Rattus norvegicus: one gene and its partners. The protein of the gene in region 4 interacts with the protein of the main gene of each other region in a pairwise test. Links are inferred from orthologs where the notes say so. Each region holds a gene or a part of one and is shown on either strand. Other genes may lie near its edges. The genes, in order: Cdx4, Pygm, Banp, Prkab2, Pias2, Dao and Bend5.

Region 1 (4,489 bases), on a different chromosome or scaffold from region 4:
CTTGCTTTAGAAATCATAGCTGTAAGGAGTGCAACACACACATACACACACACTCACACATATCACACATACACACACATTTTAACTTAAGTCTGTTTCAATTATCTTCATTAATGGAAAAAAAAAAGCTCTCATGGGATTGCCTTAATTCAGGGAAGAGCTACGTCCAGTCTGTTGTCCATAGATTTTTTTCTCTCTCAGCCCTAAACCATAGGTTGATGTGCAATGATGGTACAAGGTGAACAGAAAGCTTAGGAAGATCTAACTTGTCTATTCACTTAACAGACGTTTAACACCTGCTCCCTTGCTAAGCATATAAAGGGGTACACTTTGATTCGGAGTGTCCCGGGGTGATGGCATTTATTTTTGTGAAGTTTATGGCCCTGTATTATGAAAGATACTCAGTGAGACTAGAATCTCCAGAACTTATGCAAAGCATCACTTATGTGTGTAGCGCGGGGTGCTCTCATGCACAACCATCATCTCAAATTGTCAACAAATAGCAACTTGAGCCTACAAGAACATGCAAAAGGGTGGTGTTAACTTACGAGGAATTCAAATGAAACAAATGTCAATGTTAGTAAAACTTTGTCTATAGGACAAGTTGCCAAGAGTCCAAGGAGCTGTAACATCATTCTCAGTTTTAAACTTCTCCTAAGCACTGAAGAGATGAAGGCACACAGACTATGGGGATCCTTCTCAACTTCTCTTGGCATCAGAATTACCCAAAGAGGCTCTGAGATCTCCCCCCCCCTCTCTCTCTCTTTCCTCTTAAAGCAAAACAGAGAAAGCTGTCATGTTTCCCTCAGCAACACAAAGACAATTCATCACAACCGTATTTTCTTACTGTGTTCTTTCCCTCACAGTTTTCCATTTTGAAAACCAAGCTAGCGACATCCCCTCCCCACAGTATTTCAAAGAAAAATCCTAGACAGTAGCTCTTTGATGTCCTTTTAAAAATGTGTATTTTGCTTATTCTTAGGTTTTGGTGAATGGATGTTAGTTTTACCCTGAAGATTAGATGTAAGAACAGCTCTGGGGAGGAATGCCCTACCCTCGCCTCATTTGTCTTTAAAGTTACATGACTCACCCATATCCTCTTTTTAATATAAGTTCTTAAGGATTACTTTTAACTTGGGATCTGTACCCTAGTTAGACCTGGAACATCCTCCTTGTGGCTGAAAAGTTTCCTAACAGTAGGAAATGGTACCCCCTAACCCTTTCACCTTTGCTTCTTGGAGGAGCGAGAAGGGACAACAAAGGGTTGTGAAGAGTATATATCATCATGGACAAATACTATTGAAATATCATTGCCTCTCCAGAGGGAAATGTCACTAATTTTCTCTAATGACAGGGATCAAGTATTGGAATAAGAAAATGCTAGGAGAACAACCACAGCTGAAAACGAACATGTCACCGTCTCCTAGTCCAAGATTATAGTGGAGTCCTCATTTCCTCGAAGCTCTCCGCACACCCCCCCAGCGGTTGCCTGCCCACCAGGGCTTGCTGGTCAGTGCCATTAGACCTTAAACGGGATCCTTATGGCTTCTTGTGTGTTGTCGCTGTCGCAGACTTGCATTCTGCTTCTGCATCTGTGGCCACCTGCTGAATTAGCGATGAGGGCTTTAGGCACTTGGAGGGGGGTGTGAATAATACGGTGGGTGTAAGGATAGTGTCCTATGAAATGACAGCTCAGTGCTGTAACGCTTCCTTCAGTGGGTAGGACATTGGAAAAAGGCGTTAGGCTTTATTCAAGACAGTGCTAATTTGGTCGACGGAAGCTGTAGTTTCCTTGGGCGTCTTGTAAAGAGGCCGTTTTGCCGTGGAAGCCTTCATAGGCTGGGGCGTCGTTTGCCAGCTAAGCACCTATTAAGTTGAGCATCACCAGTTTTCAGCGAGGCTGCATAATAGGATAGGGGACGATTTGGACATAAAACCGGCAAGCACCGGGACAACCTTAACTGTCTTCTCACCCCGTTCATCACACGTGTTTCTGTTTTTCCCTCCGGACAACGACAGGATTGGATCCCGATCCTTGTGGTTCATCGGGAACACTGTTCATGCCCTCACTCCCTTGACTTATCTGGGAAGGGTAAAAACCAAACCAAACCGAACCGAACCAAACCTAATCAACCAAACAACCAAATAACCAAATAAAAAAGCCCACCTCAACAAACCCCCAGGAAAGGTTTAGTTCCAAGCGCTGCTTTTAACCAGCTTTGAACCTAGGCACAAAGGAGGAAATTACTTATCCCGCCAGCCAGTTGCCCCGTGGGCTGCCTAGCTGAACTCTTCTGCGGGACGCAGAGTGAAGAGTAAGAGGGCAGGCGGACCAAGAGTAGAGAAGAGAAGAGACAGTGGAACGATGGATTACTCACCGGTCACCTGCACAGTCTTGCGCATCCACGCGTAGGGGCTGTGGCGGCTCCTGCTGGGAGAAGTGGCGCCGCCAGAGGTGCCTGAGTCGATGGAAACCAGTGACTCGCTGGCCGCGTCTGGCAGGCTACCGCCGTTGCTTGCACCGCCTGCACCGCCAGTGGGGCCCAGAGTGCTGTAGTCTGGGGAGCCGAAAGCTGGGGAGCTCGAGGTCATGTCGTTCATGGGCACTGTGCCCATTGTGCTGGACGGCCCAGGGTATGTACTCCAGTCTTCCCGGGGCGGACTGTAGGGTGAGCTCCAGGCTCCCAGCGAAGGCCCGTGAGGATCCATGTTGGACATATGTGGATACCCCATGTAGTGTGGGTAAACTGGGGCTGCAGTAAAGTTGGAGGCAGGCAGAGGACTACCACTGCCCCCAGAGGTGCCCACTCCGGCTGTGCTGCCTCCTCCAGGGTTCCTGAGAGTGCCTGGGTACATTCCCGCTTCTTTTTCTAAAAGGCAGCTTCCATACATGGTGGCTTGGATAGAAGAAGTTGCCCCCTAAGCCATCCTGAGGACCCTGTAAACTTAGCGCCAACCCGAGTTTGAGATGCAAGAGGCTATCAATGAATGGGTCAGCACTCGCTGTGCTGCCAGCTCCTCTGGGCGGCTCGGACTACTCCAACCTTCCTATCCTACCCTAAATTTCCAGGTGACTGGTAGTGGGCCATAGGAGGGCTACGAAAGCCTGGGATGACGTCAAGGGGCTTCAAGCTTTTACATAGCATTTGCATTCAAATGAAGGGCCATTTAACGTCTATGGGAACTTGTTCACTCCAAGCACCTTCTCCCCTAGCTCCCAGCCCCTCTGTGCCGCTTCCGGGATTCTTCTGCTTTCTTAGCAGCACTTTTGCGCTTTTGGAGGCGGTTGTTCCTCAAGAAATTTCTCATCGGCTTCTTCAAAATGAGACTGAGATGCGCAGTCTTGCTTCCTTTCACTGAGGTCTTCCTTTCACGATTTTCCAGAGCCCAGCTTGCTGTCCTGGTTTCTCTCTCTCTCTCTGCTCATACTCTCCTGGTATGGATTTTCCAGTTGGCACTGGCCCATCATGCCACTGTAAAGGATTTTCCCTTCTCCCACACACTCCTCAAGGAGAGGGCTTTGTTTCTATAGGCAGATTTGTTTCACAAATGTATATTCAGTGTCCACAGTGTGTCAGGAATTGTAGGCACCGGGGAAACAGCACTGACATGTATTCCTAGTTTCTTAAAGTTATATTCCAGTTAGATGGGAGGCTGAGTTAATTGGATGCCTAACAACTATGCATACATTAGAGAATAAGAAGCACATAGGCCATGAAAAGGGGAGAGGAAGCAAGTGGATAGTGCATTCTCTGAACTTCATATTAATGTATTAATTTACATCTCTCTGCTTCAAAGTCAATGCCCTGAAGGACAGGAGGAACTCTTGTAGTTTGAAATCCATGCAGCTACGGCAGACTTGCCATTCCATTCCAAAAGTATGGTCTAGGTAAGCACTCTACCACCTATATCCGGGACACCCGTTTAAAGATAGAGGCTCCAGCTGAATCTACATTACAAAGCAGGCTTCACAAGATGAAGCATGGAACCAGCTTGACTGCTGAACACATTCACTCATTCATTGAATACATTATTGATAACATTCTTGATCAGGTCTTTATTCAAACAAGTTGTCACCAATTATTTGACCTTTCTGACATACTACAGATTTTAACACTTTGTGCAGTCTGCTCAGATATGCCATTCCCTCTGGTAGACTTTTTTTCCTGGTTGTTTATTGTTTTCAATTACTAGGTTATTGGTAGTTGCAGTTTTTCCTGCAAAGACTTCTTAACACCAGCAGCCTTCTTTCCTTTCCACCTTTCTTGGCCTGGGGCCCCTGCTCTAAGCTGCGTTCTCTGTATTCTTTCTCTGCAGACCCTTCCTTACACGCCTTCTCTTGCTTATCTATGTACCACCATTTCTGTATTCCTTCTCTGCACCCCTCTCTGTACTGCCTTTCCCTGCACCCCCTCTCTGTACCCCATTCTTTGCACCCTTTTGCATCCTCTTCTTCTCAGCCTCTTCTTTACAGCCCCCTTCCCATCCG
Region 2 (3,096 bases), on a different chromosome or scaffold from region 4:
AAGAGGAACCTTATAGACCTCAGTTTCTCCGGAACCGGGAATATACCACTGTTCTCGCCTGAACGGTCTGCGAACGCCCTAAGCCCTAACACTCGCCTGGTTTTGAATTTATTTTAGCCACCTGCTAAGAGACCCTAAAACGCCGCAGTGGGGCGGTGCTAGGGGAGGAGCCAAGAAGGCGCCAAGCCTCCTCTGGACCCTCCCCAGATAGCGTGGAAGCTCCGTAGTCAGGAAGGATCTGGCCCAAGTACCGACCGACTCCCGGACCCGGTGGGCTCCACCCAGACGGACGCCCCGCCCCCGACCAACTAAGCTGGCCGCTGACCTAGTATGGACAGAGCGCTGGGAAGAGAGGCGTGGAGGGCGACACCGGAAAAGGGACTAAGTCCCAGACACCAGCTATGGGCCTCCCCTTTCTCCCCACAGAGGATGCACCTGCTGCGGTGTGTGGAGGGGGGGGGGCGGTAAGGAGATGATTGCGCAGCAGCTGTAAAGCTCTCCAAGAGCTAAAAATATTTTGCAACAGAGAGAAGAGTAAGGAAGGTCATGGAGAGTCGATTTATTGGGGAGTGGGTGCACTTGGTTAGACCCCATACATAAATAAAGGGGGTAGGGAGTTGAGGGAAAAGAAGAGGGCAGGGTCTTTAGTCACACTGGCATCAGGACCTAGAGACTGGTAAAAGAGGCTTCCAAAAGGGGGAGGGTAGAGATGTAATTCCAGGGGCCCAACCCCTGGAGTGGGCCTGATTCCGGGAATTGCAAACAGACTCAAAGGCAGGTATGGGGTCTGGTGTGGAAGCTCAGATCTTCTCATCTGGGGCTGGCAGGCGCTGACGAGAAGGTTCAACACCCCAGATCTCCCGGGCATACTGGGCAATGGTACGGTCACTGGAAAACTTGCCAGAGGTGGCTATGTTCCTGATCACCATCCGTGTCCACTCTCTTGGGTTCTGTAGACAGCAAGGGAATCTCTAGGTTCGTTCTACCAGCAGGCTGGCCCCCTCTCCCTCATTCCCAGCCAGGGGCAAACCCTGCCAGCTCCCGGCCGATGACCCCTCACCTTGTACAACTCACTGACTTTGTCCTGGCATTTAATGTATTCCTCATAATCTGCAAAGACTTTAAACCTGGAGGAGAAAGGAGAGACCAGAGCTCTGTGAGGTCAAAGGCCAAGTCCTTGGCGCAGCAGGAGTGAATGAAGCCACAACCCCAGCCAGCTTCCCCATCCACCCAAGCCCTGCTCATCCACGAGCCTCCATGCAGCCTAGTCAGCCAGCTCACCGGTCATGGTGCATGAGCATGTTGACGATGTCCTTGAACAGGTCAGGCTGTTTAGGGGAGAAGAAGCCACTGCTTAACTGTTCGATGATCTGCCGAAGCTCAGGAATCCGGTCGTAGTATTCCTGGGCATTGTACCTGCCAGAGCATGTCTGTGGTCAGCTCCCTGCAAAGGGGTCCCCAGCCTCCCGGAGAAAAGCTGGGAAGACCTGAGGCACAGGGCCTCCCCAGCTCCAATCCACGTTAGCTTCTCTCCACGTTAGCTTCTCTCCACCCACTTCGTAGTTAGAAACACTCAGGCTCAGAGAAGACAAAAGACGAATCCAGGGCTGGGGAGATGGCTCAGTGCACATACATACACACAAACATACACCCCTAATTTCAAAACAAAGGAAACACAAAATCTTGGTTCTCAAGACTCCGAAGAAAGGACCCATCTTCCAAGTGCTTAGAAGTCAGGCGGAGTGCCTGCCTGGTATGCGAAGGGCCCTGGCTTCCATCCCCAGCTCCACCACAAAACAAAACAAAACCCTCCATGCAGCTTTTTCCACTGTCCCAAACCCACCTCACAGGCGAATCCTCGGGTGTGGCCTCTAAACTCCCACAATGAGAACGAGCTCATTACAGGCTGGTGCCCGCTTTACTTTCAAGGTAGCATCCATCCAACCCCTGCACTGCCCTGCTTTGTGACTTTCCTTGCCTGTGCAGTCTCCACACTCACACACTACCCTGTCCTCTGCAGTCAGATTGACCAGATTGGACTCTGGTCTTGAACATCCCAGATCTCATTCAATGCACCTTAGGGCCCAGGAAAACAAAATCTGAGGTTTCTTTTATTTGTCTGTTTTCCTTTCCTTCTTTTTTTTCTGAGGCAAGGTCTTACCACATTGCCCTGTCTGGCCTAGAACTCTCCATGTAGATCAGGATGGCTTCAGACTCACAGAGTTTCGCCTGCCTCTGCCTCCAGAGTTAAAGGTGGGCACCACCATGCCCCATTCAAAGTCTGAAATTTCTAGGAAAAAGCTCTTTCAGCGGTAAATGCCAGCCAGCTCTCTGAAGCTGTTGGTGGAAGTGTAAACTGGTACCAACCTTCCAGAAGCATTTGAAACTCTGTGCCAGAGACTTAGGAACTCTCACATTTTTGTCTCTGTGTGGGGGCGTGAGCATGCCTCGCCAGGAAGGACAAGTTTCAGAGGCTCTTCCCTACCTTTCTTTCTTGTTTCTGAGACAGGGTCTCTGATACTGTGTAAGACAGGTCAGCCAGCCTGCCAGCCTCTGAGTCTCCGCCTCACATCTGTGCCTCCCTTTCCCAGCTTGTTGGGATTTCACACACTTGTGCTATGCTTCTGCGTGAGTTCAGGTCATCAGACTTGTACCACAAGCACTCTTATCTCCTGAGCCATATGCCTGGCCCAAGAACTTTTTGGTCCACAACTATTTACCTTCTAGTATATATCCCAAACTCACCCTCACCTCTTCTTAAAAACCATACCTTTGGGCTGGAGAGATGGCTCAGAGGTCAAGAGCACTGACTGCTCTTCCAGAGTTCCTGAGTTCAATTCCCAGCAACCACAAGACAGCTACAGTGTACTCATATACATAAAATAAATAGTTAACACACACACACACACACACACACACACACACACACACACACACACACACACTTTAATCCCAGCAGTCAGGAGGCAGAAGCAGGCAGATCTACAGAGTGAGTTCCAGGACAGCCAGGAAAAAAAAAAAAAAAAAGCTTGTTTTGCCCACTACATAAAGCAGTGGACTGGATAGTAACCTAATATCTTTTTGTTTTTTTCTCTT
Region 3 (3,937 bases), on a different chromosome or scaffold from region 4:
TCAGCTCCTATGTGTACAAAGAAAGGGCCAGAGTGAAGAGAATGCAGAACCTGTCCTTATGAGGGGAGGACAGGAGCAATGATGGCCTGCCTGCCTTCTGGATGGCATGACCCAGTCAGTCATATTAAGTACTCGAGGATTCTCCTTCACAAGAGGATCAGCAACTACAGGGCTGGCTGAGAGGGTGGGGAGTGACTAACTGGGCTGAGGTTTCTTAGAAGGGGTGATTAAAAAAAAATAATAAAAAAAATTCTAGATTCAGACAAAGGTGACAGGGGATAAACTTGTAGATAAACTAAACCTGCCTCTCACTGTGACAAAACAGTTTCTAATGAGAAGAGCTTTCAGAGGATTCAGTCCATGGTCACTGGTCCTGTGGCCACCATCATGGAGGAAGACTGTGGCAGCGGAGGCTGCTCCCTACTCCATGGGAGCTAAGACACAAAAGGAAGGGCCACACGGGGGCTAGATCCCACCCACTCCTCTTTAGGACCCACCTCTGTGGCCCACTCCTCTCCTAGGCCACCCCAGAGGCAGGGCTGTGGTCACGCTCTGAGCACACGAGCTTTGGGAACAACAACCTAAGCCTTAGCAAGCGCTAGAATGTGCGCTGTGACGTGTACCATCAAGTGTGTGGTAGCGAGCTTCGACCCCAACACTGCAATTTAGTCAGACATTATTTCTAGTATTTCAGATACAGCACATACCTAAGAGCAAAATTTTGTGCTTATAGGAAAAACCAATCATTTAGATAAGGAAACAAAAGCCTCCCAAGGCTCACAGGTAAACAAAGTCGATGGGTAGGATTTGCACACAGAGCTTAGTCTGTCAGAGTTCCTTCCTTCCTTTCTCTCAACATTACTGTCAGTTAGAAGCAAGGAGGTACTTCAGACTTTTCAGGGAAGAGCCTGCCCCTACCCCATGGGGGCCCCCAAGAAATCATGGGAGGAGTCTAGGGAAGGCAGACCCCACACTTGCTCTCCCTGGCTACTTGCAGATCTCAGCCCAGCCCAAGGAGACTGTACTCCCTAAGCCTGGCAACCAACAGAGGAATGCCAGGGACTGTGAGCAGAGGTGACTGGTTCGTGCTTATGGAAGCTCTTCCTCCTCAGGAAGCAGAGCATCCAAGAAGGCATCTCCACAGCAGACATGTCAGTAACACGAAAAAGGCATGGTCACAGGAGAGAGGCACAGGTGCTGGCAGTCACGGTAGGACTTCAGCTGCTTAAACTTTTTTGTCACTGTGTCATTTCTTATCAACAGCAAGCACAGCCCCTTCCAAAAGAAGAGCACAAAGGTGCAACTATGGCGAACGCACCTTCAGAGTTCAGGGTGATAAGTGTGACGTTGCTTCCAATGTTCTGACTTCCTGGCTGGCCGCAGTTAGACACGGAGTCACTGGCCTCTGATCCACTCTCTCCATCTTCATTGTGACTGTCGTCCTGACCAGGCACCTTCACCACGATGGTATTCTGCCGACGCCCAGGAACAGCGCTGGCGGGAAACAAACACAGCAGCCCAGGCTGTGAGAGGACATGAGTGGTACACTGAGATAGCCCTGACTCCCACTGTTATGTAGACTTATCCCATTGTCTAGCTGAGCATGGACCAATGCACAAGGTGGGTCCCCAACATGCGGTATGTCCCCACACACACCCTCCATGGAGATGAGCAGCAACATAGCACACCAACAGCCTGAGACCAAGAAGACGAAGAATATAAAGCAACTGCGTAAAAATGAACAGCACAAAAGAAATAAAACCATAACTCACTGAGACTCAGCCTAGAATCTGGCTTTCAGACCTTAGAGGCCATCCTCACATGCACAATGGTCACCGTGTATCAGAGTCCCCATCCATCCATCATCCATGCTGTCAGACACCCAAGATGACTCGGCCTCCAAAACACCTCCACACTCCCTCTGACTCCCACAGACAAAACCCTAGAAGCAACTTCCAAGGCCATCAAGAATGTCAGGAGTCCTCTGGGAGCCATTCTTGGTGCAGGGCCCTGAAGTAAAGCAGCAGCCAAACAGCTAGCAGCAGAAAGTGCTCAAAAAAGACCCAAGATTGATTTGTTTTCTGAATGATTCTGTCAACGTTTTGGACCATGGCCTCCTACACACCACAGAGGAAACAAAGCCCAAGTTCCCATCAGCAAAGTCAAAGGGGCCTTAAAACTCTGGTCATCCCCAGAGGCAGGAGGTCCTTCCTGAACTTGACCCCTCTGAGCTACCCACAGTGAACTGGCTCCTCGACACTCCACACCCACGACCTCAGAGTGGGCCAGGAGGCGCGTCCTCTCCCCAACAGAGTGGCAGGCCTCCAGCACCCCACTCAGCACAGTCACAGCAACCCCAGGCCTCCAGTTTCCTAGAGACCTGGGCCAGGACAAGAAGCCAGACAAAGCTGGAAGGAGTCACACCCCACAGAGAAAAAAAGGAAGGCAGGAATCTGTGAGAACACTGCTGGTAATCAAAAGGTGACCAAGCTTTCCTGAGGCACAGAGCCAGAGCCAGGGGCAGAGGCCCCGCAGGGCATGGCTGCTGTGCCCTTTCATTTCTGACTGACGGAAGGTCCATTCAACACATCTCAAAAGACAGGGATGAGGAAAAAGTCACAACGTCAACACAAGTGTGTCATTTACCAGACTCAGAAGAGGCTCAACTGCAGGACAGACAGATGGGAGTGCTCAGCGGACCACAGGCCATATCTAGCCTCTTCACATACCAGATCCAGCCCAGCGGTCCTCACGGCTGCCCACCCTTGCACTGTCTCACCCCACCATTGCTAAGCACCAAGTTGGCCCTTCCTGACCTAAAAGCTATGGTGGTTGCTAACAGAATGGGCCCTATGACTGCAGACATGGACATGTGCTCAGACTGACCCTGGCTCAGGAACGCTCACTTAGCCTCAGGACAGTGGCAGGGAAGGTGGGTGGTGATGGCTACTGACTTGCTAATGATATTTTCCAGGGAATCCGGTGCCCTGTTGCTCAATGGGTCTTCCATCTTGGCTACAATGGCGTTCTGCCGATCATTGTTGAGTATTACTGTAGTCTGGGGGACGACGCTATGAAACAAAAGAATCACAAGAAAAAGAAGACCTTAAAACAACAACAGTCATTGTCAGAGCACATGAATCATTCAACACGGTCAGCTCCTGGGCCAACACCAGAGAATGGGGTCCAGTGCAGAACAACTAAACTGGAGACAAGGCTCTCCAGCTTCCTGCTGGTTGGTATTCTTGGTTGACACAAATGTGGGCAGGGTGGGCTGTGCATCCGCGAGCCATCTCAGCAACAGGTTTCATGAAAACAGGTTCCTCTTCATTTCCCCGTGTGTGTGTGTGTATGTGTGATGTGTGTGCGCAGGGCACCTATGTGCACCGCATACATGTGAGCTGTGTGCGGAGTGCAGAGCAGGTACTGGGAGTTTTCTTCCACTGCTCTCTGCCTTACTCTTTTCAAACAGGGTCTACCACTGAATAGAAACCTAGTCCACTCAGCTAGGCTGCTAAGTCAGCCTGGGATCTCCCTGTCCCAAGTCCCCAGTGCTGAGCCTACAAGATATGGCCTGGATTTTTCCATGCATGTTAAGGACTTAAACTCACATCTTCAAGCTTGCAGAAGCATGAGCTTACCCACTGAACCAGCTCCCCAGCCTCTTTCCAACGCATCCCTCCAAAACTCTGATCCGGCAGGTTGGTCTCGCAGCTGCCTTCCTCACGTCACTCCACATCTGACCTCTAGAGTTGGGCAGCCAACCAACCCACGGGCAGCAGCGGGAAACATGCTCACACACCACCCGCAGCCCTCTGAGGAGCACAGAACCGAAACAAAAGGTCTTGGGGCCTGGGTTTGAGGAGAAATTCTAGGAGAGAACAGACCATGGCCCAAGAACCGCCAGGCTCAGAAACACCCTGGGGGCAGCATTAGG
Region 4 (4,484 bases):
CTACAGCTCACTGCCACCATGCAGACCTGGGAGATTATGACCCTAAATTATGTGTATTAGTTGGCCTTTTACAGAAAAGGTTTACTCACCCCTCCTATGGAATGGCTTCACTGGCTGGTAAATAAGACTGCATGGTACCAGGTCAAGCATGGGTTAGAGTAAGGAAAGTCTAGCTCGTTTATTTGGGCTTTCCCCTGCTTTTTCCAAAATACAAAAAGTTTACCTTCCATTCTGTGTCTCGATAGTCCTTAAGACTACAGTACAACTACAAACCAAAGCAAATGGAAAAGGAAAAGGAAGGGACTTTTACATTATTCAAGGGACTGGATTGAGACAAAACTTTGGCCTCTGTAATCTCAGAGCAATGCACTGGGGCTGACAGTTGCATTGGGAATGTTTCCATAAGCCTCAAAACAACCCTCAAGTCTGAGTCCCGCAAAGGATTTTGTGAATATATTTTTTTAAAAAGCCTTCAGGTAACAGCACTCTTATCACGTTACAATAAACAAGGAGAAGCATTTCTTATTTTTCTCTAGGGGGTCAAGTTCTCACTGTGGTCCAGACTGGCAGTGATCCTCCTCCCGCTCTGAAACAGCTGAGATCACAGCTGTGAGGCACCATCATGTCAGCTTTAAACAGTCACCTTTTGAGGTACGTCCTAAAATGTTAGAAATACTACTTGTTGACCTGTTTGAAATCTGTTTCAGAGTGGTTGGTAGGGGAATGGCTTGGATCACAGAGGCACAGTCATTTAATGACCTTTTAGCACCATTTAAAACGGGTGACATATACGTAGTTCATTTCACTGTTCATTTTATAAGTGTGTCAGATTTCCCATAAGGTTTTTAAAGCATTCTTGGGGGATCCGGTCATACAAATAGGACTGAGGAGCACTGAGTAAGACTATTAATAAGCCTGACCTTTGAAACAAAGATGCCCCCAACCCTACTATTCTTATCAATTACTTTTATGACTTAAGGATTTTCAGTTTAGGATTTGAAAACTCCAAACTATTAATATGCCTGGCTTTGGAGCAAAGCCCTTCCACTTATGACATGACATTTCTGTGGTAGGAGTGACTGCAGCTGACTAGCAGAAAAACTGTTTACTGGAGTTAAACCCTCAGCGAAACCATCAGAACAGCAGCAAACCAGCAATTCAAATTACGGCCTGCAAATGTTTAAGGAAATTTAGTGTGGAGAGGGAGAGTACATGGGCTATGAAGTTTTCTGTCTGGGTAAGACATGGGTAATTGTTTGAACTACTTTTCTCATCTCACAGCAAGATGTGAGGGAAAGAATGATCCAGAACAGGCCTAAACGCACACAGAGCAGCCTGGCTCTTATTCAGGACACCAATTACTGCAGTCACAGTTTGACTGTACCCAAATCCTGAGTCATCAATGTAGGAACGAGCAAAAATACACGGCCTGTCTGTCACCCTGGACAAGCTTCGGAGAAGAAAATCTAGGCTGAGTGCAGGGCCCAGATAATGAGGAATCCTAGAGGAGAGGAAACAGGGAAGAGGGAACCCCAAGAAATGGCGTTCTAAATCAGGATCGAAGAAAATATGGTATATAATCCAACATTCATGTGCCATCAAAGCGGTAAATAAAACTCTTGTTTACTATCTTAAGTCTCAGTTCACTGGGGTGAGAAATGTCAAACACACCCCACCACCCCACCCAAAAACCACCCGAAGGCTTTTCTTTTTCACTTCAGAGAGCCGACCAGGAGAAATTAAATGTATTTAACGCTGACATTTCTAAAAGTAATTAGGAACATTAGAGTAGTAATCACACTGCTGTCAGCTCCGTCTGGCTCTTCTTTTGGGTGACCAAAAGTGGCCTCTGGCTGAAAGTCTGTGGAATTGAGAGCAAAAGTCTTCAGGGCATGAGAGGGTGGTTTTGAGCCTCGGGAACATTTTGAAGTACTTCTGAGGAGTGAAGGGAAGTAAGTTGCTCTCCAGGGAAGTGCAGCAAGGTGTGCAAAACGCTCAGCTACATTTTAAAACGGCACTGTTTTTTCCTTTTTTAAAAAAACTGAGCCATTAACCAAATGATGTCCTGTACTGATTCCCAAGACTAGGGGAAAGTATTCAAATAATCAAGTGATGGCTGCTCAGCCACACAACGGTGAACGAGGATGGAGGAGGGATGCAGAGCACTTACGAGAGAGCAAGAACGAGATCTACACTGAGACATTTTCAGGGAGAAGAAACCATCTAGCTATCTTGAGGGCAATTGAGAAACTGAGCTCGTATCAAGAGCTCAGACAATGCACCCTTCGAAGTTTCCACCCGCGCTCACTACCTATTCTTCCTGCAAGCTCTAGAACAGGGCAACCTGCACGTACAACCAAGGATGGGGCGGGCAGGGGATGGGTCTTTGGTACCCGTCCTAAAAGGCTGGCCCACAGATTACTCAAAGCAGCAGGAAAACAACTCCGCGCCTCTATCCTAATTTGAGGTAGTACCTACCAGGAATTAGCACCCAACATTTCTGTCCGCGCACTAGCCTTCTAATTTAAAAGCCCATAACCCTTGAGAATGAGGAAGAACCAAGAAGGGCGGAGCAGCCCGCAGCCCCGCTACCTCACCTTGGAGTCCGGCAGGCTGAAGACGCTGGGGTCGTCGGTGCTTCCCACCATGATCTTGTGCTCCTTGCCGGGGCCATGGCCGCCACCCTCAGCTCGAGCAGCCTTGGCACCGTGGCGCTCCCCGGACACCCGCTCACTGGTGGTGTTTCCCATGGCTGCAGCTCGAGTCCGGGGCAACCTGCCGCGGGGAATGACACCAGGCGGGGAACACCCCCGCGGCCGCGTCAGGAGCGCCCCGGCCCCGCCCCTGCGCCCGGGAAGGGAATCCCCGCCGCAGGAGACCGCGCCCGGGGTCCCCTCCCTTACCCGCTTCACGGACGCCTAAGCTCGGAGAACCGGCTCCAGGAGCCCTCGCTGCCCCACAGCCCGGGTCCCGCACACCCCCACGCCGCTCACCTCTGGCGATGCGCTCCGGGCTCGCGTGGCTACACGCACGCCGGCTGTTCGGCGTACAAGGAGACCAATAAAGTTATTGAAATTGAAGCCGCGCCCCAAGCCAGCGAACCGGGTTTCCTCCTAAAATGGCTACAAGGCCGGCGACGCGGTACCGCCTCTGCCTCTGGCCCCGCCCACAAGGCCTCTTGTTCCACCCCCTGCGCTCCAGCCCCGCCCCCTCCTCAGCCTCGGTCGCCTGCCTCTCTAGCCACCAGCACTTAGGCCACCTCTGTGGTGGGTGCGTGCGCAGCTCCGGCTTGGGGCGGAGCGGAGGGTGGGGTCGGGGTTGGGGCTGGGAACGACCCGCCTAGGTTGTGATAGCTGGGCGCGCCTTGCCTTCCTAAGCATTTTGTCTATCCGTGGCACACGCGCTTATTAGAAAAGCCGAAACCGAGGCCTCTCCGTGCCCTAGGTGCAGAATTAGAACCTGTACTTTATCAAACAACTTGACAGCGGTGCATAGCGGATCCACATTCGAGTGGTTTTCATACTCCGCGTAGACCTCTACAAAGCAACCTCTTTTTAGTTGTTCCAGGAGGTATGAAATAAAGAATGGGACAGAGAATTGACGAGACACGTGATGGCAGGTACTGGCATAAGGCTTACTTCTATGTGGTACCCAGCTCATCAAAGTGGTGTTTGTTCTCTTACTGTGATTAGCTGCGGGGATGCTTGCATACAGCGAAAGAGTGAAGTTTAGTCAAGGAGTCAAAAGGGGAATTGAGAGCACAGGGTAGTCTGGGAAAATATTGAGGGAGTATTGATTTGAAACCAGTCGGCTAGAAGTGAAGACAAAATAGGCTGGTGGAGGGCCCAGTGGGGTCAAAGGACTCTGGATACAGGAGAAGCTGGGTGAGCTGAGACAGTGAGAGAGGTATCCTCTGAGAGTATCGTGTTTGCCACTGAGGTTTCAGTGCTCCTGAAGTCATTAGCATTGGCAGTATCTTAGATCCGATCAAGGGTGTAGATTGATGAGATGAGGCAGACCATAAAGCCATTAGAGTTAAGAAGGTTATAGGGGAGCCTAGTGAGATGCCGCCGTGGTTAAGAGCACACGTTGCTTTTACAGGACACGGGTCTGGTTCCCAGCACCCACAAGGTGGCTCACAACCATCTGTTCCAGGGGATCCAACACCTTCCCGTGCACATACAAACATGCAGGCAAAACACTCAAATACAGATTAAAATTTTTGAAAACTAAATAATAAAAAGGAACAGTGAGATAGCAAAGAGAGTTGGAGGTCTACCTTAACATTGACTCCCTTCCTGCTTACTAAAGCATTGACTCTAACCTTAGGATATTGTCTGTCTCCACCGAGATGCATTTCTTAGCCTCCCTAATCGGTAGATAGGTAGAATGTTATGTAGAATTTCTCCATTTCTTTTCTTTGTGTATAGGACGCCCATAGAATGGCTAGACCTCTAGCAGCCACTTTGGACCAGGAGTTAGCT
Region 5 (3,937 bases), on a different chromosome or scaffold from region 4:
AAAATCATCAAACATTAATCAATAAAACCATACCTGCCCACACTTTTTACACCAATGTGGGCAACCCTGGCAATGTGACCCCTAAGAGTTCTGTGACGATCACAAAAGAATAAATAACATTCTGGAAAGTCTTTATTTACCCTTCTTACTCAGAAAATCTGTTATTGCTTTTTTGAAATTCAACAGAGCCGGAAGAAAGTCAAATGAAAGGAGTCCAGAGGTTGCATGTGCACATGGATTTCAACTTATCAGACTCCTTTAGCATGTCCCTAAGAGTAGATAAGAGCGAGGAGCCAAAAGCAAATACACACACTGGGAAACTAAAGCTACAGAATCCCTCCACCAACGAATGGAAGAATCCACTCAGTAACAGCTAATTCATGACCAGTCTCCACACGTATTAATAAATGATATACAGTCTCTCCAACCAAACTGGGCTGTATAAAGATATACAAAACAATTACTACTCTTTCCGTTTCTCAAGTGTGTTTACATAGTACACATACATGCATATATGTCTGCACAGATGTGGGCATGCTTGTGAAGGACAGGTTAGTAGCAAGCATCTTTCTCAACTGCTCACCACTTAAAGGTCTCGCTGAACCGACTTCATTACTTAAGTCTAGTTTAGTGGTTCTCAACCTTCTTACTGCTGGGACACTTTTAATTCAATTCTTCATGTTATGGTAACCCGCAAACATAAAATTACTTTTGTTGCTATTTCCTAACTAAAATTGTACTATGATTTGTACTATATGTATCTGTGTTTCCCAATGATCTTAGCCAACCACTGTGAAAAGGTCATTCCACACTCAAGGGGGTCAGCACCCACCGGTAGAGAACAGTGTGCCCCTGGGATCCCTGTCTGCCTCTAGAGCACCAGGATGACACAAAGGCCACCCAGGGCCCCAGCCTTTACGGGTAACTCAGGATCTGAGCTCCAGGCTATCTTCATGCTATCTATATTTACTTACTTACTCGTTTTGTACATGAAACACCATTTAAAAGTTTGAAGGATGGTATAGATTTGCACATTCCTTAAGAAAACAAGGAAGGAGAGATGGCCTAAAGTTAGCAAACTAAATTCTGAATATGCTCCTTGTGGTTAAGTTAAGAGTTTGTACTTCATAATGTGCACTTCTCTGAGTGCTCCTGACATTCAGTACATACTTTCTACTTTTGTACAGGGCTGGCTGGTTACTTTCATAGCTTCTTTCTTAGGTCTCATGGGGCACCAGGAACCATCTTCCTGGAATTTGATCTCATCCACATCAGAACAGTCATTGAGAATTTCCATAAAAAGCCTGTAAAGTACATAAATGTCAAAGATGAAACAAGAAAGCAGTATACACCCAAGAAAAGGCAACGGTGTTAGACGTAAGAACATCGGAACCTCAATGATTAAATCTTTTTTTTTTTTTTTTGGGTGCTTTTTTTTTTTCGGAGCTGGGGACCGAACCCAGGGCCTTATATATATATATAAAACTAGACTTAAACTCAGATCTACCTGCCTCTGTCTCCTGCGTGATGACTTAAAAACTGTGGCCCACCTCATATCAGCAGGTGGTCTGTTAGTTTTCCTCCACTTATTCTATTTCTTTGTCTAACTACTTGCCCGGGGTTACACTTACCCATCTAGTATCAGACTCTCATAGGCAGCCTTTTTGTCACAAACAGGACAAATCCAGGTGGGCTTCTTCTCATTCATCTGAAGATACAGGGCAGCATCAAAGCACTGCAGATGTGTACACGTCACTGCGCGGCACGGGATTGTCAGCCTCATTTTTCCTAACTGCAGAACAGAGAATACAACAGGAAATGAGTTCAAATAGGACAAGATAGCCTACAGGAGAAAAGAGATGCTCATTAGAGTCTTAACAAGTCAAACAAGATGTTCAAAATAAAAAGCTTCAGCCTAAATTTACTCTCATGAAGACTGTTTATCTTTTTATTTATGGGTGGTTTCAAGTTTTGAAACATCGTTTCACTTCAGTAATGTCTAAGTACAAAGGCAGATACACACACACACACACACACACACACGCACACACACACACGCACATTTAAAAAGTAAATGTTTTAAAAACTACTATGATACAAAGACATCATGGTTTATCATTCGTGCACTGATAACAGGTAATTACATTACTTCCAATCTTGCACCATTACAATGTTACTAAATAAGTACCTCAAAATGAAATTTTGGAGAAGTCGAAGGGAAATATTTATGGTCTTTGAACACTGATAAACTCCCTTAACCAGAGAAGTCTATTGATCTGTAATTTGTGTACTTAATGTGCTAATGTGCTATATTCCAACTCCACCATTATCCCTGCGGTTAATGAATGTTTGCTTTTTTCCAATCTGGTTGGTGAGAAATATTTCAAGGCAGTTCTTAAATACATTTCTTTCATTTTCAGAGAAACTTGAAGCTCTGTTCTTCTACTTTATAGTTAATTTGTGTCTCTACGAACTCTCTACACATACCCTTAATCATTTTTCAGTCACTAAACTTATTTATAAGAGTTCTTTATATTAAAAAAAGAGCCTTGTATGGGATATAAACAAAATATTCATGAAAACGTTTTATTATATAATCAAATCTGTCAAATTCTAGTATGTTTTTATATAGTTATATATATATTGTTATGCATAATTATTAAAGAAGAGACCTACTGACACCCATACCCACATTAGACCAGGTCATTTCTTTTCATAATTCTTTTTTTTTAAGATTTATTTATTATATATAAATATATATATTATATATAAGTAGCTGTCTTCAGACACACCAGAAGAGGGCATCAGATTTCATTAGAGATGGTTGTGAGCCACCATGTGGTTGCTGGGATTTGAACTCAGGACCTCTGGAAAAGCAGTCAGTGCTCTTAACCACTGAGCCATTTCTCCAGCCCTCTTTTCATAGTTCTTAAAACCTCCCTGTGTATGTCACTTATAGGAAATATTGCTATTTATATCCACAATGGCAGTATCAGTGTCTAATCCTGGGACCCACCACCATCACCACCAATGCTAGCTAGCTCAATACCAGCTTATAGCCTGTCCTCAGTGTTCATGGACTAAAAAGGGGGCAAAGATAAAACAAGGGATGCAGAAAGGGTTCTTAAAAGTTAGTGATCAGGGTTGGGGATTTAGCTCAGCGGTAGAGCGCTTGCCTAGCAAGCGCAAGGCCCTGGGTTCGGTCCCCAGCTCCGAAAAAAAGAAGAAGAAAAAAAGTTAGTGGCCATTTACAAAATTTAACTCCAAGTCAACAGAAAATGCAATGTGTATCTTTAAGCATTTCTGTATTTTTCCTTCATTGAAGGATCCTATATTCTAAGATTTAAACCATACTGACATAGTAATATTCAATTCAGGAATTTTACATCAGGATAAATGAGTTTGCTCCTTTACACTGTAAGTGTGTGGAAACAAGCCATTAAAATAAGTTGAATAACTTACACTAACTCACTCAACAAAATGTCTACAGAAAGTAAAATAAGAAAAAGTATAACTACTAATAATAATATTAAGATACTTGAGGGGTGGGTTGGGGATTTAGCGCAAGGCCCTGGGTTCGGTCCCCAGCTACGGAAAAAAAAAAAAAAAAAGATACTTGAGGGTAAGCAAACAACATGTGGTGGAGAGGTTGAAACCAACCAACCCTGTTGTGGTGGTGGTACACGTGTGAACAGTGCTGGGACTCAGGGGGCAGGCACATCCCTAGGCTCACGGACCAGACAGACTAGCCTAAGAGGCAAGCTCCAAGCACACGCACAAAATTAATGATGTTTTGGGGGGGAAAAAAGCTGCGTAAAGATAACTAAATAAAGGCCACACAGTGTACTTATATATAATAAATAAATAAAATAAAATAGCTAAACAGCAGGTCTACTAAAGCTCGGTGTATCGGTATTTTAGCCCAATCTGGCAGCAA
Region 6 (4,558 bases), on a different chromosome or scaffold from region 4:
CTCCTGTGATGCACATTTTCAGTGTTTGAGCCAAGAGAGTTCAGGGAAGCCAGGGGAGCTGCTCTGTGTGAATGGAGCCTGTCCTCTGTCTGCACACTTGCAGGCTGGCTAACCCCCTTGTCTCCCTACCTCAGCACACTCTGTGAGAGAATGCCTCTTGCCCATTGTTCTCCTCGCCCCAGCCTGGGACAGACAGTGGATGCACACACCAAGAGGGGACATCTTAGGAAACTCTTGGGTGCTTGGGAACTCAAACACAACTGCAGTTTACAGGTGAGGCGATGAGTCACCCAGACAGCGGCTTCAACTCGAGGTCAAGATAGGGGCTGGAGAGAGAACCTATACTGATGCCTGCACCACTGAGAGACCCAGGAAAGGACAGGTGAGGGGCAGGGGAGAGGGCTGATGGGGTGTCAGGGGTCTAGATAGGGGAAGACATCTGTAATCTGAGAAGTCAGGACGCTGAGGCAAGAAGAAGCTACAAGTTCCAGGTCAGACTGGGCTTCATAGCAATTACATGTCTCAAAAAGATAAGGGTTGAAGTGGAGGGAGAGGGGGAGGACCCATGAGGCAGGTCTGGTGGTGCACACTTGTGTTCCTAGCACTGGAAAGGCTGAGTCAGGAGGATTGCATGTTCAAGACCAGAGGTTACATAGTAACTTCCTGCCTTAAGAGGGAAAAAAAAAAGGCAAAGAAGAAACTTTGAACCAAAGCATGGCCTTGGGAGGACAAACCCAGACTGATCGGAAGTCTGGCTCTGATAATGGCTTCCAAGGGATGGTGAGAGGCGCGTGCCTCACAGGTCCCAGTTTTCCCCACTATGCAGAACTCTAAGGAGGAACTAGACATCCCTGTGTGGATAGAAAACCAAGGAAAGGGGAGAGACTATCCCTGAGTCACGACCGTGAGGAAAGGATCATTTCCCAGGGGTGGTGGGAAAGAATCGTCTCTGTGAGGGGAGGGCTGCAGCTGTGTGGGTTCCAGCCCGTGTGTGTGTGTGTGTGTGCGTGTGCGCGCGCGCTCGCATGTGTGTGTGCGCGTGTGTGCATGTGTGCATGTGTCTGTGTGTGTGCCTGTATGTGTGACTGTCTCTGTGGGCATGCCTACGTGTATATCTATATATCTGTATGTGTGTTTGTGTGTGTCCCTCTGTGTATATGGGTCTTTGTGTGTGTGTGTGTGTGTGTGTGTGTGTGTCTGTGTGTCTCTGTGTGAACTGTCAACACATAACCTATCGAGATCTTTGTAACAACCCTAGAGGAGATGTACCCATTTTCAGTGGAGGTAACTGAGGCTGAGACCCAAGACAACCTGTTTGAGAAGAGCAGAGCCCAGGCTAACCGGACTATGATGCCCTGTGTTCACATGAGTCACATGATTTGAAAAACCGAGGATGAGGCAGCGGAAGACAAATGGCCTATGTTTGGGAGCCCTGCAGTTCCAAAGTCTAAAACCCACCATTTGTGGGAGTGCCAGTGGGAACAGGATTGTAGAGGAAAGACTCTGAACCCTGCATTTGACCCTGACAAGAGTAGCTATTGTTAAAGTACGGTACGAAGGCATGTATGTGGTCCTCATCAGAAGCAGGAGCTAGACCACAGAAGCCTCAGTCTAGCCTCAGGTAAGATCATGCATACATACACCAATGAACGTCTGAGCCAGTCTGTGCATAGCTCTGTTATTAAGTCAACCATTTCCTCGTGGTTGCTGACAGTTTTACGTTAGAGGTGCAATTCTGCTTCATGGCCACTCATTTTAATCAACCGTGCTTGGAGTGTGTGTCCTGGAAGATGAGCTGGCGAAGGTATGGCATTCATCAGAGAGGGAAACAGACAGACAGACAGACAGACAGACAGACAGACAGACAGACAGATTATAAAGCCTATTGGACTCTACCATCACTAGGACACAAAATGCAATGGAGACAACACAACACGTCCTCTAGGAGATGGTCTCTATATCATCCTATGGGACGCCAGGTCTCACCCGATTCAGCCCGAATGTATCTCAGGGCAGCAGTCAGATGGCACTGGCTTCTCTCTTTGTCTCTCTGGAAAGCAACCGGAGGAGGCAGCTCATACCTCTGACTGTCACGTACACTTAATGGAGAACACGAAGGACTAGCGAAGCCAAACAGCCGTAACGAGGAGGCACGGAGACGAGCACAAGCCGGTCCTGCCAGGACCATGTGGCTGAACCTTCTCGTGCATTCCCAGGTTATCATTTAATTGGGGCAGCAGTTGTGCTGATAATCAAGCCCCCCTCCCCAGCACAGCGATAAAGACCATTTAGGGAGTGTTTATTAGCTGGGCGCCAGGCGTTTTCTATCCCTCTGTCTTCTGAGCCTCAAATTCACCCCGTGAGTCAAGGTCCCCACATTCAGAGACTTCAAGATGACTCAGCTGCTAGAGGTGCCTGCCACCGAGCCTGACCAGCTGAATTCAATTCCTGAGACCCCCGTGGTGGGAAGGGTGAATGCAGTCCCAAAAGCTGCCCTTTGACCTCTACCTGAAGAGCGTGAGTGTGAATTCCTGCCCCCATCCCCAACCCCATACCAAACCGATCAATAGCATAATGAAAAAAACTTTGTTCAAAAATGCCGTGTTCCAGAGGGGAAAACTGAGGCTTGGAGAGGTAAGGTTCTGAACCTGCCATCCCCTTCTGACTACACTGTACCCCTAGGGGTACAGGGGTACAGTGTCATCTCTCAGGGGGACATTTCCCCAAGTCTGTCCTTTTTTGGGGTCACCAATCTCAGTCGCTGATGTTGAGCCCGGATTGTTGGCATGGAGAGGACACTGGGGAAGACACTATGTTGTTTCTGTCCCCTTTACTTACCGCTGGTGCCAAGTGTCTAGAGAAAAATGGCCTGGGGGTGCAGGAACCTGTCTCCAGCAGGATTGCTCCTGATTCTGGGCTGCGTTGACTTCAGCCCTCTGCCCACCAGCTAGGACTGGAACGCCAGGTCAAAGTCTTCGGCAGTGGAGGGGGCACAGGGCAAGGGGTGGGGCTGGGCACTGCACTTCTCCAGGAGCAGGACTCAGTCTGGCCACGGGACCTTCTGTTTCCTCCCTCTAGTGAGCTGCCTGACTTTTCTGGCTGATCCCAAGCCCCTGCGAAGAGGCCTGGGGGGTGGGGGAAGGAGGGGTTTCTAAGGCCCAAGCCAGCTGGAGATGAGCCTCCCCCCCCATTGCTGCACCCCAGCAGAGGGGAGGACCATTCCCTGGGCCACTGTGGGCCAAAGGCAGAGGACAGGCCCTTCCCGGCCAGCCAGCTAGCTCACTGCTGTTCTGGGACGCTAGACAGATGAGGCTGAGAAGGGACGCCTGCCTGGGCTGGGAGGATGTGTAGTCTTTGCTTCAGTATCCCAGAGACGAAAGCAGCAGGACTCCAGGTCCTTCTTCTGCCAAGGCTAGACCTCTAACTGGGACACGGTGAGACCAAAACACATCTGCTGAACAGAGGAGAATACTGTGATGGTGTAGTCTTCTACCTCAGCAACATCCACCACAATGAAGGAAGCACGTGTAACAGGGGAGAGAGCCCAGGGCCACAAGCACACTAGGCAGGCACTGTGACTCTGAGGGACAGCCATAGCCTTTTCTATTATTATTATTATTATTATTATTATTATTATTATTATTATTATTAATACACCATACAGCTTTCTCCCTGAATGTATGCCTGCAGGCCAGAAGAGGGCGCCAGATCTCATCACAGATGTCTGTGAGCCACCATGTGGTGCTGGGAATTAAACTCAGGACCTCTGGAAGAGCAGTCAGTGCTCTTAACTGCTGAGCCATCTCTCCAGCCCTCAAAATTATTTTTAATCTGCATTTTTCCCCTTTAGAGTTTCTACCATTAATTGAATACATAAAAGCCTCCCTGCAGCGTCCTTCTGCTCGCCATGTTATAGATTACACAGGTTTTTCTTAAAAACTTATTGTTGGGGGCTGGGGATTTAGCTCAGTGGTAGAGCACTTACCTAGGAAGCGCAAGGCCCTGGGTTCGGTCCCCAGCTCTGAAAAAAAGAACCAAAAAAAAAAAAAACTTATTGTTTTTTGATATGAACCCTACACAGATGGGTTATTGTATGAAAATTTCAGTGCAAGTCGTTGTGGGATACCCCCTTTACCAGTTATTGGCCCAGGAGTCTACCTACCATTGCTCTTGACTTACCCACCAGAACTAAACGGTAAGACCGATGGCTAAGACACAACACACTTTGGAGACAGGACACAGAGCAGCGAGGTTGAAATTTACCTAAAACTCGCTCCCTGGAGGGTCGTGCTCACAGTGCTGAAAGGCACCATGCAGGCCGGTGGACAAGAAAAGATAGCAATGGAATGGCCCTGCATCCTACAATGCCAACCTGCCAGGTGAGACGTGCTCAGCAGGGTAACAATGGCACAGACGTTATGGGGGCGACCGACTACTTTTGTCTTGGAAAGATTTCAGGCCTGATGCTGTAAACCTGGTCAAAAGTCTGGGGCTCAAGAGGTCACGGGTCGGGGGCTGGGGATTTAGCTCAGTGGTAGAGCGCTTACCTAGGAAGCGC
Region 7 (3,937 bases), on a different chromosome or scaffold from region 4:
ACTTCTTCCCTGAACACCCTACTTAGCATCAGGGACTTCAGAATCTTTGCCCACACTTATCAGAGACTTATCCCCTTCCAGCCATCTGAGCCCTTTGATGTCATAGAGAATTTATTAAGAGCTTGCCATGTGCCAGGTACCCCAGGCTGTCCGGGTACAGCATGAGTGAGACTGCCCCTGAAGAGCATCAGTGTAATATTGAAAACAGGTAGGGGTGGCTGGGTGCCACACAGCTTGCAGGTTATAATACAGAGACTACTACCTAGAAACAAGGCATCAGAAGGAAGCTACCTGGCTGGGAACCAGAGAGACAGACAGAAAGACAGAGACCTAGGACAACAGGACAGACAAGGAAACAATCTGAATTCTAGATATAGAGAGAGGCTGGTTGTTCTGGGCCTTCATGGACTGTGGTGGGGATGGTAAGCAAGGAGGAACAAGGTCATGGTCATGTGGAAGTTACTTTGGAGGCCATCGAGCCATTGTAGTTCTTGTTTGAGACAAGGTCTTATGTGGTTCAGGCTGATCTACAACTTGCTATCCAGAGGCTAACTTTGAATACCTGACCCTCCCAAGCATGAGTGCTGAGATTAGGGCCATAAGCCTTTGTTTAACAGTCTTTTCTCTTAGAAGGAAAATGAGGTTTCAAAAATTTTGTAAAGATGATCTATGAGCGGTGGATAAATGACCTTCTCAGCCATTTCTCTTTTCTGTCACTGAACATCAGAGTAGGACGAGAAAGCACGTGCCTGAACCCATCTTTACGGGAAGGCAGAGTACATTTTCCCCACCTGAGGAAAGACCAGATGATTTACTTATTCACGTGTTGAGAATTCACACCTGCAGACGGGACACTTCAGCATCTGCTTGTTCTGGAGACTCTGGCTGCAGTCTTTGTCATGATCCTTTCTTCTTCAGCAAAGGTTTAGAGAACACCTACCAGGTTTTATGCACAAGGAGAAAGATAAAGAGCTTGGCCTGGACCTTGCATAGGGCACACATAGGAGATGCTGTCAGAAAGATAAGGATGCTGCTGTCTGTGCTCCACTCAACCATCTTCTCCATCTGCAGCTCACACACTCGAAGTCACACAACAATAACAGAGCGGAGCCAGGCATGGGGCCCAGTCTGTATAATGATGTACAATGTATGTAATTTCACCTGCCTTTCTGACTACCATCCATTCTGTGGTCAGCTTTGTGCCAAGCTCATGCTTAAATCTTTGGAGAATACAGAGGGTCTCTCTTGCAGTCAGCAACTGCTAGCTACCAGCAGCTCAGAGATGATACTCTCATTCTGGAAAGCCCCGTCATAAGGACTTGTACCAACAAACTCACATTTGATGGCATTCCCGCCATCAGCCAAAATCTAGGTTACGGCAGCTGAGCACAGAGTCGCAAGGATTCAGTAGATAAAGAGCGTGGATCCCAGTTGTCCATTCAGCCAGGATAAGAAGTCTCACCCCAATTTCATCCATGCTTAAGCTAAACGCACAGCACACAGCGCCTTTGATTTTAGTCAAGGCCAGGATGTGAAACTATAGACTTTTGAAGTTGTTCTCTCGAAGACAAGTTAATCGAGTCATTTGGCCTTATTTACTCATTTTCTCTGTTCCTTGGTAATCAAGACACAATAGATGATTAAAAAAGAAAAAGAAAATCTGTCATTTTAAAAGCTAGTAGAGAAAAAGGCACCCTAGAAACAAAACAGCAACCGTTTCCCCAGCCTCCTTTCACTATTTAAATCTCACGTAATTTGTGTTGATTGCATTAAAATAAAAAGTGAGTGATCGCTGTATCTGGCAATCAGCAGCTTGCCCTGTGTTGTATTTTAATTTCTTGGTTGGAATGCCCTTGCTTAGACCCCAGGTCCCAGGAAGGGGGATCCTAGCCACCCCCGCCCCTGCCCCCGCCCTCAATAGCTTTCCTCATTTCCCTCAGTCCACATGACCCTCTCTCCACAGGGTCCAGAGATGAGTTTGTTGGCAAGCCCACAATTTGCATATTCTAGTTAACTGCTATCCTTTCTCCAGCAGTCTGAACTGACCCTAGTTCCTATGCAGGAAGCTGAGTCTCCTGCCATTTTGCATAGACACTGACACCCTAGAAGGTGTCCCTTAATCATCCTTAATTACTAAGGCCTAGTAAAATTCTTGCCTCACAGTGCATTGGAGTCTGGGTTTAAGTGTAGCATAAAGAACAAAAGTAAGCTAGCTTTTTCTCTAGTGCCACTATATGCTGATAGATGCATAGTTAAGAATATTTGCCTTTTATTTTCCTTGGAGTTCTAGACAGATCTCTTTTCTTAACTGCCTAGGTCCCGCCATTGACTTGGAAAAAGTAAAGTCAGAATGTCTCGAGCCCGAGCCGGAGTTACGGAGCACTTTCAGTGAGGAAGCAAACACGTCGTCCTATTACCCCGCTCCTGCGCCTGTCATGGACAAGTATATCCTAGACAATGGCAAGGTAGTGTTTTCAGCTCAATATCCATTCCTCCAGGTGCTTGCTAGTCAGGGAAAAGGTGGAGGGCACAGTGGGGGCTTTGTGAAACCCCACATGGCTAGCCATCCTCCCAGCCTAGTCCCTGGTGACTGTGGAATTTACTGCATAGTAACATAGGTTTCCTGGGACTTCTCCTTGTTCCCCTTTTTAAAAAAATGTTGAGTCAAAATAACTGAAACTAACCTGGCATTTTAAAATAACGTATTTATAAGAAAGACTTTTTTAAAAAAATAATTCCTTTGATAGTTTGATATTCTCCCTCACTTCCTATGAAATCAGATGCCTAGAGTGCACAAGGCTAACTCAGTGAATTACTCATTTAGAGATAGCAACTCAGTGTATGCCCATTCACCATTTACAAAGTAGACGTTCCCAGCTCTCAGCTCTGTCCTGGGGACAGAGGGGTAAATGAGCCATACTCCTTGTCTCCAACTCACTGGCCTACAACTCCAGGGATACACATCACTCCTCACAGTTTCTCTAATGACTCCTGAAAACAGATCATGAATGAACACATAAGCCCTGGTGGTAAGGAGAAGTCTGTCAGAGCCCTGTGTCCAGGAAGCATCCAGCTTTAGTGTTAGACTCTCTGCCACCACCACACACATTTCAGACTCGCCTCTCCTTGGTACCTGAGTACCCCGTGCTTTGGGTGGTCTCCCTAATGAAAAGGACAGATTCTCCGACTTCCTTTGTTTAGATACATCCCCACAATTCTCTGGCCTGAACCTAAGAAAGTATTGTCTAGGTGAGGAAAAGAAACGTGTTTATCTCTAGGGCTGTCTTGGATGTGCTACTGTACTCTGCATTGCTCACTGAGTGCCTCCTTCTCTGCAGGGCCAGGACTTGATGAGGCAGGGTATAGGCCTTGTCTTTGCTCATGCATCAGGCTTTCCCCGTAAGCTTTGCAGAGGAGTGGAGGTTGGAAGCCTGTGGAATTCTCTAGCACAGCTCTACTTCTGTACTTCCTGTGTGAGGTCAGGCCGATTCTTGGCCTTCCTGGTTCTCTGAGTCCTTATCTATAAGGAGCTGACTGGATGGATGCTTTCCACAGGCCGTTTTGGAGTAGAAGTGTCTAAGTTTGGTAAACCTCCCAGATTGAAGCTAGAACCGCAGAGGCGTTTTGGGTCTCTTGAATTCCTTTTAGTCAGGACCACATTGTAGGGTGATTGTAGAATTTTTCTTAAGTAGTTTCCAAGAGAAATCTGTTTCTCTCTTGCTTTGAAGGCTGCCAGGCAGCTTCTGAGTTCTGCTACAAAAGTAGCATTCTTTCCCAAGAAAATAGGTCTCAGAAACCTTATTTAATGTTAGACACACATGGTAAGCAAAGCCTCTTTTGCTTTCCCGACTCACTGCTCTAAACCTCACCCAGCTTTTCTTTGAGACTAATTTGTAGTCAGGCAAGGGACTATGACAGGGAGGAGAGGAAGCAGACT

The links.
Region 1: the proteins of Prkab2 (region 4) and Cdx4 interact in binary tests that used the Homo sapiens proteins (3 or more experiments, as listed by UniProt). The link is inferred for Rattus norvegicus from reciprocal best matches to the Homo sapiens genes PRKAB2 and CDX4.
Region 2: the proteins of Prkab2 (region 4) and Pygm interact in binary tests that used the Homo sapiens proteins (3 or more experiments, as listed by UniProt). The link is inferred for Rattus norvegicus from reciprocal best matches to the Homo sapiens genes PRKAB2 and PYGM.
Region 3: the proteins of Prkab2 (region 4) and Banp interact in binary tests that used the Homo sapiens proteins (3 or more experiments, as listed by UniProt). The link is inferred for Rattus norvegicus from reciprocal best matches to the Homo sapiens genes PRKAB2 and BANP.
Region 5: the proteins of Prkab2 (region 4) and Pias2 interact in binary tests that used the Homo sapiens proteins (3 or more experiments, as listed by UniProt). The link is inferred for Rattus norvegicus from reciprocal best matches to the Homo sapiens genes PRKAB2 and PIAS2.
Region 6: the proteins of Prkab2 (region 4) and Dao interact in binary tests that used the Homo sapiens proteins (3 or more experiments, as listed by UniProt). The link is inferred for Rattus norvegicus from reciprocal best matches to the Homo sapiens genes PRKAB2 and DAO.
Region 7: the proteins of Prkab2 (region 4) and Bend5 interact in binary tests that used the Homo sapiens proteins (3 or more experiments, as listed by UniProt). The link is inferred for Rattus norvegicus from reciprocal best matches to the Homo sapiens genes PRKAB2 and BEND5.

The regions. Positions count from the first base shown.
Region 1 is NC_086039.1:72,391,226-72,395,714, reverse strand, and holds the start of Cdx4 (homeobox protein CDX-4), read right to left. Parts: upstream 3,063-4,489; 5' UTR 2,893-3,062; coding exon 2,379-2,892; intron 1-2,378.
Region 2 is NC_086019.1:213,132,062-213,135,157, reverse strand, and holds the end of Pygm (glycogen phosphorylase, muscle form), read right to left. Parts: intron 1,417-3,096; coding exon 1,282-1,416; intron 1,128-1,281; coding exon 1,061-1,127; intron 951-1,060; coding exon 801-950; 3' UTR 536-800; downstream 1-535. UniProt on the Homo sapiens protein: Allosteric enzyme that catalyzes the rate-limiting step in glycogen catabolism, the phosphorolytic cleavage of glycogen to produce glucose-1-phosphate, and plays a central role in maintaining cellular and organismal glucose homeostasis.
Region 3 is NC_086037.1:66,950,904-66,954,840, reverse strand, and holds part of Banp (protein BANP), read right to left. Parts: intron 3,072-3,937; coding exon 2,955-3,071; intron 1,495-2,954; coding exon 1,319-1,494; intron 1-1,318. UniProt on the Homo sapiens protein: Controls V(D)J recombination during T-cell development by repressing T-cell receptor (TCR) beta enhancer function. Binds to scaffold/matrix attachment region beta (S/MARbeta), an ATC-rich DNA sequence located upstream of the TCR beta enhancer.
Region 4 is NC_086020.1:187,944,674-187,949,157, reverse strand, and holds the start of Prkab2 (5'-AMP-activated protein kinase subunit beta-2), read right to left. Parts: upstream 3,150-4,484; 5' UTR 2,994-3,149; exon of another isoform or gene 2,904-2,993; intron 2,776-2,903; 5' UTR 2,751-2,775; coding exon 2,598-2,750; intron 1-2,597. UniProt on the Homo sapiens protein: Non-catalytic subunit of AMP-activated protein kinase (AMPK), an energy sensor protein kinase that plays a key role in regulating cellular energy metabolism.
Region 5 is NC_086036.1:72,956,900-72,960,836, reverse strand, and holds part of Pias2 (E3 SUMO-protein ligase PIAS2), read right to left. Parts: intron 1,793-3,937; coding exon 1,632-1,792; intron 1,305-1,631; coding exon 1,171-1,304; intron 1-1,170. UniProt on the Homo sapiens protein: Functions as an E3-type small ubiquitin-like modifier (SUMO) ligase, stabilizing the interaction between UBE2I and the substrate, and as a SUMO-tethering factor.
Region 6 is NC_086030.1:48,270,376-48,274,933, forward strand, and holds the start of Dao (D-amino-acid oxidase), read right to left. Parts: upstream 2,926-4,558; 5' UTR 2,839-2,925; intron 2,051-2,838; exon of another isoform or gene 1,987-2,050; intron 1-1,986. UniProt on the Homo sapiens protein: Catalyzes the oxidative deamination of D-amino acids with broad substrate specificity. Required to catabolize D-amino acids synthesized endogenously, of gastrointestinal bacterial origin or obtained from the diet, and to use these as nutrients.
Region 7 is NC_086023.1:131,550,103-131,554,039, forward strand, and holds part of Bend5 (BEN domain-containing protein 5), read left to right. Parts: intron 1-2,316; coding exon 2,317-2,465; intron 2,466-3,937. UniProt on the Homo sapiens protein: Acts as a transcriptional repressor.